2 linked regions of the Drosophila melanogaster genome follow. The protein of the gene in region 2 interacts with the protein of the main gene of each other region in a pairwise test. Each region holds a gene or a part of one and is shown on either strand. Other genes may lie near its edges. The genes, in order: CG14506 and CG14367.

Region 1 (6,090 bases), about 16 Mb from region 2:
ATTTTTGAAGTCATCATATTGCCGGTGATTATATTTTCTTTGGCAATGATCTCAATAGCCTTGAGTTTATTTATTTATTTACTTTAAAAACTTATTATTCCGCTTTGATAACATGATAGTTGTTGTAACACAAAGTCATTCCTTTTCGTTTAAAAGGAAAGTGCTCTAAACTGCTGCGAAATGTGTGGAAACAATATAACTCTTGTTACAATTACTAGATTTATTTGTCCCGCTAAAAATAAAAAACCTATGATATTACATGCCTTTAACAAGGCACGTTTTTACTATGACTATGGCCATTCATTGGCCTAGACAAAGGCCATTTAAAAACCCATTTCATACAATTAATAACAATAAAATTACACTAAAATTGCAACAACACCGCACACCCCCAACAAGGCGGAAGACAAAGGACACAAAGGCCATTGTCGCAGGATCTGATCCACTTGCCACCGCCGCCGCTATTCAAAGTAACTCGTAACTTTGGTCGCTTCATTCACGAAACGCACTGTACTATATAGTCGGCCACTGGGACACACAATGGGCGTGGCCCTGCGCACTCGACTTCGAAATCCAGAGACACCGAGTTGCAGGAACACATTGCACGTGCGTGAGTGCAACAATTGTCCTGCAAACTGCAATTGTGTCATGTCCTGATCGCTATTCTATCCTGTTTGTCCTGCACTGTCCAGCTAGAGAAGTGTAATTTTCCATTTAAGATCAACGATGTGAAAATTTCCAAGACGTGATTTTTACGTCGTTTTTTCCTTAAAGCGTAGCCATTGAGCTATTGTTTGCGTAGTTCATTAGTTGCCAGGACTCGAGTTCATTTCGATGGACACGTATATGTCGGGAAAATGCCGCCAAAAACGGTAGGTCGGATTTTCCTGCCAAACTTTGCCGCCTCAGCTGCGGTTGAGTGTTTTTTTTTTCGTGTGCTTCTTGCGAGTTTGGTGCTTCGAACATTAAACTAATTTATCACCAATATATGCCAGGATCCTGGGCGCACGGGCTGGGATGGGCTGGGAAAGGACACCCCTTTCGGTGGGAATCGCTCGTGTGTTGGACTTTTGTGTCTACTTACCATAATGAAAACATTTTCAAACATTTTATGCAAAGTCCTGACATGACCTTTGCCGAACCTCAACGCGCCGCGTCTCCCGTTGCGCTCGATGTCCTGTCCCGAGTGTCCTGAATGGGAACTGCAACACACACATGCATGTATATCTCATCCCATCCCTTACCGGTTCGTAATTTGCGATCTGAACTAGTTTTCGGCGTGGCCCTGTCATTATGTAGATTTTTCAGCCCGCGAGTACACGATCGCCCCACAAAAATTGGAAGGGGAATTCGAATACTTAGTGGAAGACACCGATGTTGTTGCTGTTAGTCGGGATGTTCCATGTTCACCGGGTTTGTTTACGGGGGTCATCAGGACTGGGATTTGTTCTCACAGGAAATATATGTGTGCTAGACCATAAACCTTGAAAGCACAAAGAGAACCAGATAACGATCCAGTCCAAATGTATCCACCGGCAAATGGGAAAAGGCAACACAAAGCCGCAATTTGGCTGGTGAAAATCATCGAGGTCGATCCATTTGCAGGACCATATACCCATTTATATGTGCAGCTCTACTACATATCCGCCTCCGCCGCGATGAGTGACTGCCGGGTTTGACTGTCTAAGCCGCAGGTACGAAGTGATTAAACGCCGAGCTATTGCCACCGCAATTAGGATCGCATCGGGATCGGGATCGGGATGCCCGAGATCCCAATAAAAGCCAAATTGAATCGGGGTCGGCAACGGAATTGAGAGCGGGGGCAACTAGTGCAGGACCTGCAAGGATGCAGCTGATAATGGCAAAGAATTGCGTCGTCACAGGTTCACAGAGATGGCCGGCCAAAAAGGAAGACAAGTAGTGCTGGGGGGGGGAGAAGGTAGAACAATTTTTTTAACATCAAACGAATAAAGGTCGCTCTCGCACACTCGTATTTACTGTGGAAAAGGGAGCTCCTGATTTGTTGCAAGATTTCTTCGTAAATGGCATAAAAAACTGCTCGAGAAACAAGGCGACAAGCCGTGGGATCGCCGTGGCCGTGGCTGTGGATCGTTGTTAAGATTGTTAATGGCACCCGACCTGTTCACGTCCACGCTCACACAATGTTGGACAATTAACACGGCCCAGCAAGAAGAAAGCCAGGTTTTTGGAGGCACATCCTTGGGAATGTCGGGCAGAACAGAGGCCGCGCTACAGAAATCAAGGCCCCCTATTTCATCGCATTTATCGCATTCCCGCGCCCCCTCTAGGAATTGTTCATATTTTGTGTATCATTCGGTCAGGGGCAGTACCGTCATCAGCTGATCCAGGGGATTAATTATGTTGACAGGTTGCTGCGATTCAAGTGCCTTTGAATTGGAATTGGAACTTTTTGTGTAATATGTTCACGTTTCATTCAAGCAGCTCCATTCATATCTTCCAGGAATCTAAGTCACATCCTTCGGCTTCCCTCAATTTAGAAAGTGTCCGACTTATGTAATGTATGCCATTTCCTTATAATGAAAGTGTTCTTTGAAGTTTCTTGGGAAATATTGCTTAACTATTGTTATATTGAATGATATATGATATGATAGATATGATTTGCATTTGGTAATTCCTACTCTTTCTGTGCGTACATCTGATCCGCAAACATCGAAATGCTGGGTCGGTCTTTCATCTCGCTGAGCTGTAGGTCGACGTAGTTCTTGGTCCGCCGATAAGCTGCCACATTAGTGTAGCAGTGATGGACATAGTTCTGACCCAAACTGGCTAGAACGGCGTAGCGGAGATCTGACTTGGAAACTTTTCGAAGAACAGGTTTGGGCTTAGGCACTAGGGGAGTGATCGGCAGAAGGCTCGGCAAGGATGGGAGCACTGGACTAGAGGCAGGAGGTGGTGGAGGTATTTTAAAAATAACTTTTGGAACGGCTTTATCACTAGGAGTTTGTGGCAGGGATGGGAGCACTGGACTAGAGGCAGGAATTGGTGGAGCTATCTTAAGAGTAACTTTTGGAACGGCTTTATCACTAGGAGTTTGTGGCCACTTTGGAGCTGGTGGCTCGACAGACTTGTGGGGCACGGCAGCCAGTTTCTTCCGTATGCTCAGTAGGAGCTTTGCCGAACTGGAAAGACCCTTTTCCAGGGCCCTCACCTCGTCTGAACTGGGTTCGAATTTCAACAAGTTAAAGCTCCAGCGGGAGATTCCAATGTCATTGGTTAATGCATAGGCATAGTTTCGATCAGATTTTACGGCGGTAAATGGACTATAGGACGTGGGTTCTACCAGTTTTTGAAGAAGCAATGATCTGTTAATTGGTGGCTTCGAATTCTTCTCTAAAGATTTGTGACCACTTTGTTTGGCGTCGTTTTTCTCTGCCTGCCTTACAGGAGCTTTGTGTGGCTGCGTTATCGTTGCCTTTGGTTTTTTTATGGTCCCAGAGTTTTGCTGACTTCCCTTATTTGTACTTTTTTCTTTCGCCTTGCGACAGTTCAATCGGTATCCCTTGATCAGATGTGGATTCGATTCGATGGCATGCTCCATGTATGAAGTGCGACTAAACCGCACCATGGCGTAGTTAAAGTTACTCATGCCATTCCTCACGCTGACCCTCTCCAAATCCCCAAATTTGCTGAAATAGGTGAACACATCCCGATGGGTAATGTCCTGGTCTAGGTCGGGAATGAACATCAGGCGATCGTGTTCCGGCTCGGGAGGCCGTCGTTCGGGTGGCTGGACTACCACTGTGCCAGGTTGGTACGTTTTCACCTTCTCTTGTAGGGAATGGAAATTTGCTAGGATTGTGGATAATTCAAAGTCCGTGAGAAGCTTAAAGTCCCCGATAGCCGTTCTCACCTGCCTTTTCCCCATAGACACTAGCTGGTTCCCTGGGCATGGCTTCCCCCAGCTGGGATTCACTAATCCTTGCTCTTTTTGGCGAAGGACACGAATCAAGTCCAGGCAAGTCCAATGGCGTGTTGGTCACTCCCAGGGGTTCTAGGGAAATCAAGGAGCTCCATGAACTATCCATGCTTTTTAAAGCCAAGTTGAAATATACTTGGTTGATAGACAAACCCAAAGCCAACTCTGATCAATGACTATTTATTATAAGAGTGGTGAAGTGGGGAGTTTTCCCTTAAAAATTGCCATTCATAGAAATAAATTCCCTAATTTTTACGCAGAATCTAAAGTCTTTCCCCTGAGGTTTCCCCAAATCCTTAAAAGTCAAACCTACTCAAACCTTTCCCATTGCATAAATGAAAATTGCACTTTCAGTTCATCGAGGCCTGGGAAAATTTTTATCCGTTTCGCACAAGGAAATGATTTGCCAAACTGAGCACAAATATTTTCATCGGAAATTTCATAAATATTTTATGAAACTGTAGGATCAAAGTCAAAGCCCCATTTAAGGTCCCCAGAGTGGCTGCCGTGCCATGAATGAATATTCGTAACGGTCGGCATTCCGGCTGCGATTCATGAAACTGTTGCCACCAAATCGTGGCCAAATGAAAGGAACCAGTAGGCCAAAGGCAAAAACCCAGCTGGAATGCGTTGGCAGTTTGAATGTCGCCTCAGGTGACAAATTGCAAGGCTTGCACAGGTTGTTCAGGTTGCACATAGCCGGTGTAAAAAGGACGACGACTCAATGACGCGGCAGGTTTCGTCGAAAAAATGTGCCATTTCGCACCTCCATAAAAACGTGTCCCGAATGGGTTTCCCTGTCATTTGCCATCAATGGACTGGGCGGCCTTCGGTTTCGGTTGCATAATGTTTGACTGCTGGGCGGAAAGTTGCACATGGCTTCTAATGTGCGATTTGCATTCGCAATCGGTCAAGGGTGCACCGGATGCGATGAATGTTTACCCAACTCGCAGAAATCAGGGCGCGCATCCCTTTCACGAATCCATCTGCCAGTGCAGATCCTGCACATCCTTTGCCACCCAGGTTACGTAAGCCATAAACAAGTGGACCATGGCGGACTAATAGACTTGTTGCCAAGGCCGCAGAGATCGCCTCCTTCTCACGCCTCGACTGCATCCGGGATTCCAGCTAAAAACGCGGCAATATCCCTCAGATACTCGGATACTTTGTGCGGACGTGAACTTCAGCCGTTTAGCCATTCAGGCATTCATTGATTCATTCATGAACATTCGCCCGCAAACAATAAGGACACAACTAGCAAATCTCTCTCGAGCACTTCAACGAACAATGAGGAGCCCAAGCAAATTTCGGTACGAGGACATTCAGTGTTCTCACGTTCATTTCGGCGATTTCCTTCGTCTTTGGGTGTTTTTTCGGCTCTTTTTTAATGTTGGCTTAAACCTCAAGTGACCGAGGGTTTGATGATGATTATGATGAGCTCACAGAGAATTTGCGAAAAAAAAAAAAACTAAACGAGAGAGGAGAAAGGAAAGCGGATACTCAGCCACTCAACCGGGTGTCCCGGCATCCTCATCATCCGCCGATCATCCCGGATATAGTTCGATATTTTTTGCGAGTTTCATCATAACGAAATTCCCTGAAATGCCCCAAGAACACATAATAATCAGAAGATAATGCCGTTGATTATCTCGGGAATGTCTATTCATCGCCTGGCGCTGTGTCCTTCGAGTCCTGCCGCCTCGAATTTCCCTCGCCGTGTGCGGCCTGCCAAAAAGTGAGAATTTATGAGGTTTTCACCAGCGCAGCTCTGGTGGTGAGGGAGTTTCCCTAGAAGTTGCGATTGGAGCCGTGCGGCAACTGTGGGAAAACTGCATTTTCCGGCCTGACTTTGGTGTCTACCAGGAATTTCGGCTTTTATCACGGATGCGAGATGTTGTCGTCTGTCGCTCATTGTTTGTACCAAACACAAATTTAATTTGATTACAAATCAGAGACAGGCACACATTTGCATTCAAGACTTTCCCAGTCACCCCGGAACCAAGAACTTAGAACCCGCATCCGAATCCGCATCCGCATCCCTGTGATTTGGTCAAGACATTATGCAGTCGCTCGATAAGCACGAAGTCTGTGTCATTGTCGCCTGATGAAGATGAATGATGTAATAATTCCGT
Region 2 (4,253 bases):
ACGGAGTTTGGTGTCTTGAATACACTGCGTGAACTAAACATTGCAAACAATCGGTGGGTATTGGGAAATATCTTTTCTAAACTATGTAGCTTTATTTAAACTTCCCACTTGTTTATTTTCAGCTTTCCGTGTATTCCCAACTGTGTGTACGAGCTGCAAGGCCTGGAGATCCTCATTGCCAGTGAGAACCACATAAAAATGTTAAATGTATCGGGTCTGCAGAACATGCGACGTTTGAGCACATTGGATTTGCGCAATAACGACATCGAGACAGTGCCACCAATTTTGGGGAACCTGACAAACATAACGTAAGATCCTTGCTGGGGATATATATTGTTTGGAGCCAAACTTATTTTCTCTGTATATTGCAGTCACTTGGAGCTGGTGGGCAATCCATTTCGACAGCCCCGCCACCAAATCCTGATGAAGGGCACTGACGCCATCATGTCGTATTTGCGCGATCGCATACCCACATAGAAGAGCAATTCACACCGTTTTTTGAGAAACACTTCACTAGCAATATGTTTATTTTGAGGAATAGCGTAATGGAAATTGATAGATCCGCTCGACCATGCCCACAAACAATCAATCTATGGATTGGCTGTTTGTGGACATGGATGAGGGGTGGCGTTACAAGTACAACATACGACACACACCGTGCATCAACCAACCAAACTAGTCTGCATGCCACAATACCTAATGCACGTTGTTAATCCTGGCTGAGTATCTGCAATAAATGGGAATAGTAGGGAAAAAAGTGCGTCCTTTCTTTCACTTCTGCTCAACCACTTCGCTGCGCAAGCGCTTGGCAAGATTGCGTCTGAGCTGCAGGGCAGCGTTCTCCTCAGCTTCTAGTGGTGCCGGCATGGAGAGCTCCTTAGTCTGGCCGCCATTCTCGAGCAGCTGTTGGGCCACCAACGCGGAGCTGGGACGTGCTCCTTCCGGTGCATGTGGAGTACCGCGGGACATGGTCTCTTGCAGTTGCTTTGCACGCGTCTGCTTCTTTATCTCCACAATCTTGTCACGCTGTTGGCGCAGGTACTCCTGCCGCGAGACAACATCACTGGGGTCCACACGATCCTCCTGCTCGAAGAACAGATTCAGGCGCTGGAACTTGTCGTTAACCAGCTCCAGATTGGGCTCCTGCTCTGGAGTTAGGGCCGCTTCGGGGCTCTCCAGTTCGTCAGACACCGTCTTGGCTATCATTTGTTCCACCTCGGAGGCGGTATCCCTGTTCAAAGTATAATGTTCATATATAATATATATATGCGATATAGAATAATGACCAAAAAACAAGAAGTATTGATTACTAATTACCAAAACCCGTGTACAATTTGGTTGGCAAAGTGCCTACAATTGCATAAGACATCATTACCCACCCTGGATCCGAGCTAGCGTCCGCACTGCGGTCATCCCCCTCCTCGACGCCACCAGGGGCTAATTGATTTTTCTCTATGAGATCCAGGGCCTGCAGCTGAAGCTCCACGTTGCGTTGCGTCATCATCCGTATGAATATCTTCAGATCGTTGGCGGCCCATATCTGAAAGATGACATCTTGGAGACACGACTGTGTGAGATCGTGCGACCGCACATACCTGCTGGAAAAGCACCTGGTGGAAATGAAAGGGATTCTCGCCCTGACCCTGCTGCCTACCCTCCAGACAGGCCATTTCGAACTGCTCCGGTGATATCTGCATCTCCTCCATGAAGCTGCCGAGCATGTAGTCCACCAGATTCTTGTATTCCTCGTGTATCTGCAGTATGTCCGGATTGTTCTCATCCAACTGCTGGTTGGGATCGAAGACTGCACCAAATCCCTGCGTTACTGGCGATTACATTTTCTGAGTGGACTTCTCACCTAAGGACTTTTGCTCTATGAACGTCTGAAGCGGAGCATTCCAAATGGGCCCGTGCAGGAAGCACACCAGCGAATCGAAAACCCAGGAGTCTTCCACCGACATTTTAGCTACAATTGAAAGAAGTGACTAAACTGCATAGTCGACATTTGTTTGGTCCTTGAATCGGTTGCCATGGCAAATGAAAAACCACCCAGCACCAAACACCTGACAGTCAGGTATTTGCTGCTATATTGAATAAAATAACAACTTGAGAGCTTTGCCATTTGTTTCTGTTTAAAAACTATTAAAAACTATTATTTAATTTACTCATAATAATAATATAGAGTTATATATATCGCATTTTACGCACGGATGTTTTAACAACTAAATAAAATATTCAAATTATAGACGTAATGGGTATGTGTTAGGATTAGGGATTAGACAGCATATCATATACAATACACGATTCATATAAATACTATGTATAAACTATAGTGTTGTCGCTTTACGTTTACGCTTAGTTTTCGTTATCGTTTTCATTATCATTTTGTTTTGTTTTCGTTTCTGTTTCTTGTTGTTATCCTTGTTCTTGTTAATGCTGCTCAATCAAACAAACAAAAACATCAACTTGGAAGGACAAATGTTTGGATACACGTATTCCCCGTCTATTTTATTGGTGTACTATCATAGGTATAGATCGTGGACTTCGGGAGTGGGAACGATCGGTTGCTCGGGGGAAACCGTTTGCAGTGACAAGTTCTTTAAACACTAAAATAAATAAATGTAGTACAGTACGCAACGCACATGGCAAATACGATTATTAACAAATAACTTTATTACTTTCTGTCAGTGTAGCTGTGGGATGTCAATTGGTTTCAGTGTGTGAGCGAGCGTATGAGTGTGGATTGAATTGGATTGGATTGGTTCCAAGTGAGCCCTACTACATTCGTTAAATACAAATTAATATTATAGTTAAATACGAAAAAAACTTACTCGAAAACTCAAGAAGACTATTTTACTTAAGACTTTATTTTATTGTTATCTCTGCTTGCTGATGTCTGTTTGCCCCACATTAGTTTAACTTTACGTCCTATTTGTTATCATTATCATTAATAATTTATTGATGTGTGTTGTGTTTTTGTTTGTGTGTTTCAATAATGCAAGGATAGCGCAACAATTGTTTGTAATTACACAGTCAATTACACAGACAACACATCTCAAGACTCTGGATTTCGAACAGCACGATAATGTGCAAAGATTTCGATATCTCCAAGTGCAAATATATGCGTTTAATGTCGGCGTCAGTGGTGCAAGGGCAGTTATCAACTAATCGCGCATTGAGAGTGACTAAATTATATACAAGGTTCATTGGGTTCAAGTGTTATCTGCATTTAACTCAAGGGGCCGGCTAACAAACTTCGTCAAGTTGGCCCTGGCAATCTGGTTGATATTCAGAAAACAATCGCAATTACACAAAAAACAGAAGCAATCCTAATGGAAAAAAAAACATTTTACTGCTGTGGGAATAGTTTAAATTTTAAAATTAAAAACATCTATTTACAGCACTGCTTGCAATAGAAACTTTCATAAAATGCTTTCGCGATAAGAATTATTTAATGAAATTGTCAAGTGAAAACAGCGCTGTATCGTGATAGTGATAGTACAATTGGCAGAAAATCCATCTCAATGGTGAGAAGGATCGTAAAAATGGTTAAGTCTAGGCTTTAGAACTAAATACACCCTTTTGCAATTGTTATTTAAATATCGACACGAAAGTATTGCACAAACATTCTGGGCCAGCAGCCAACTTCACAGGATCTGTTAACTCATACGATCTCATACGATAGACATTGCAAATGGATGTGCTGGCGCTGGCTGTATACAAATCTCCCTCACCACCTGACCACACCTCCATTGCGCTGGCGCTGCTGCTGCTGTTCATATCAGTTTGGAGAGAGGGGGATTTAACTACTAAATACAATTTATTTTGGTTTGTTTCGTTAATGCTTTGCTTTGCCAACTTTCCAACAACACGCACTCAACTACATCTCTGCTTGTGGATGCTGATCAGTTATAGTTATCTGTGTTTTCATATGCATATATATTTGAATATATATATATATATCTATATGTAGTTATTTAATTTAGTAAAGTAAGATTTATAATTTCTCGTTTACTTTAGGTGTTTTTGCTTCTCCTTTAAAATAAATTTTATGCTAAAATTTAAATTTATGCTTTCTTGTTCGATCTTACATCGTACGGCTATTTGCTTGCTTGCCTACTGTGCTGTATGTCGTTGCCGCCAATGCAATCCTAACATTCGTTGGTGTTGGTGTGTGGGGTCTGTGTGTTGTTTGTTGCTTGTTGTTTGCCGTGGTTTCTTGTATTCTGTTATGTGTGTACTAATTTATAATT

Evidence for each region.
Region 1: the proteins of CG14367 (region 2) and CG14506 interact in a two-hybrid assay, tested with the Drosophila melanogaster proteins (one large-scale study listed by BioGRID).

The regions. Positions count from the first base shown.
Region 1 is NT_033777.3:29,293,163-29,299,252, forward strand, and holds CG14506 (uncharacterized protein), read right to left. Parts: upstream 4,019-6,090; 5' UTR 3,933-4,018; coding exon 3,893-3,932; intron 3,832-3,892; coding exon 2,657-3,831; 3' UTR 1,999-2,656; intron 1,924-1,998; 3' UTR 581-1,923; downstream 1-580.
Region 2 is NT_033777.3:13,691,761-13,696,013, reverse strand, and holds CG14367 (uncharacterized protein), read right to left. Parts: upstream 1,962-4,253; coding exon 1,859-1,961; intron 1,805-1,858; coding exon 1,596-1,804; intron 1,541-1,595; coding exon 1,380-1,540; intron 1,232-1,379; coding exon 772-1,231; 3' UTR 501-771; downstream 1-500. Other genes in the region: f-cup (flyers-cup), read left to right, coding at 1-53, 123-308, 372-477.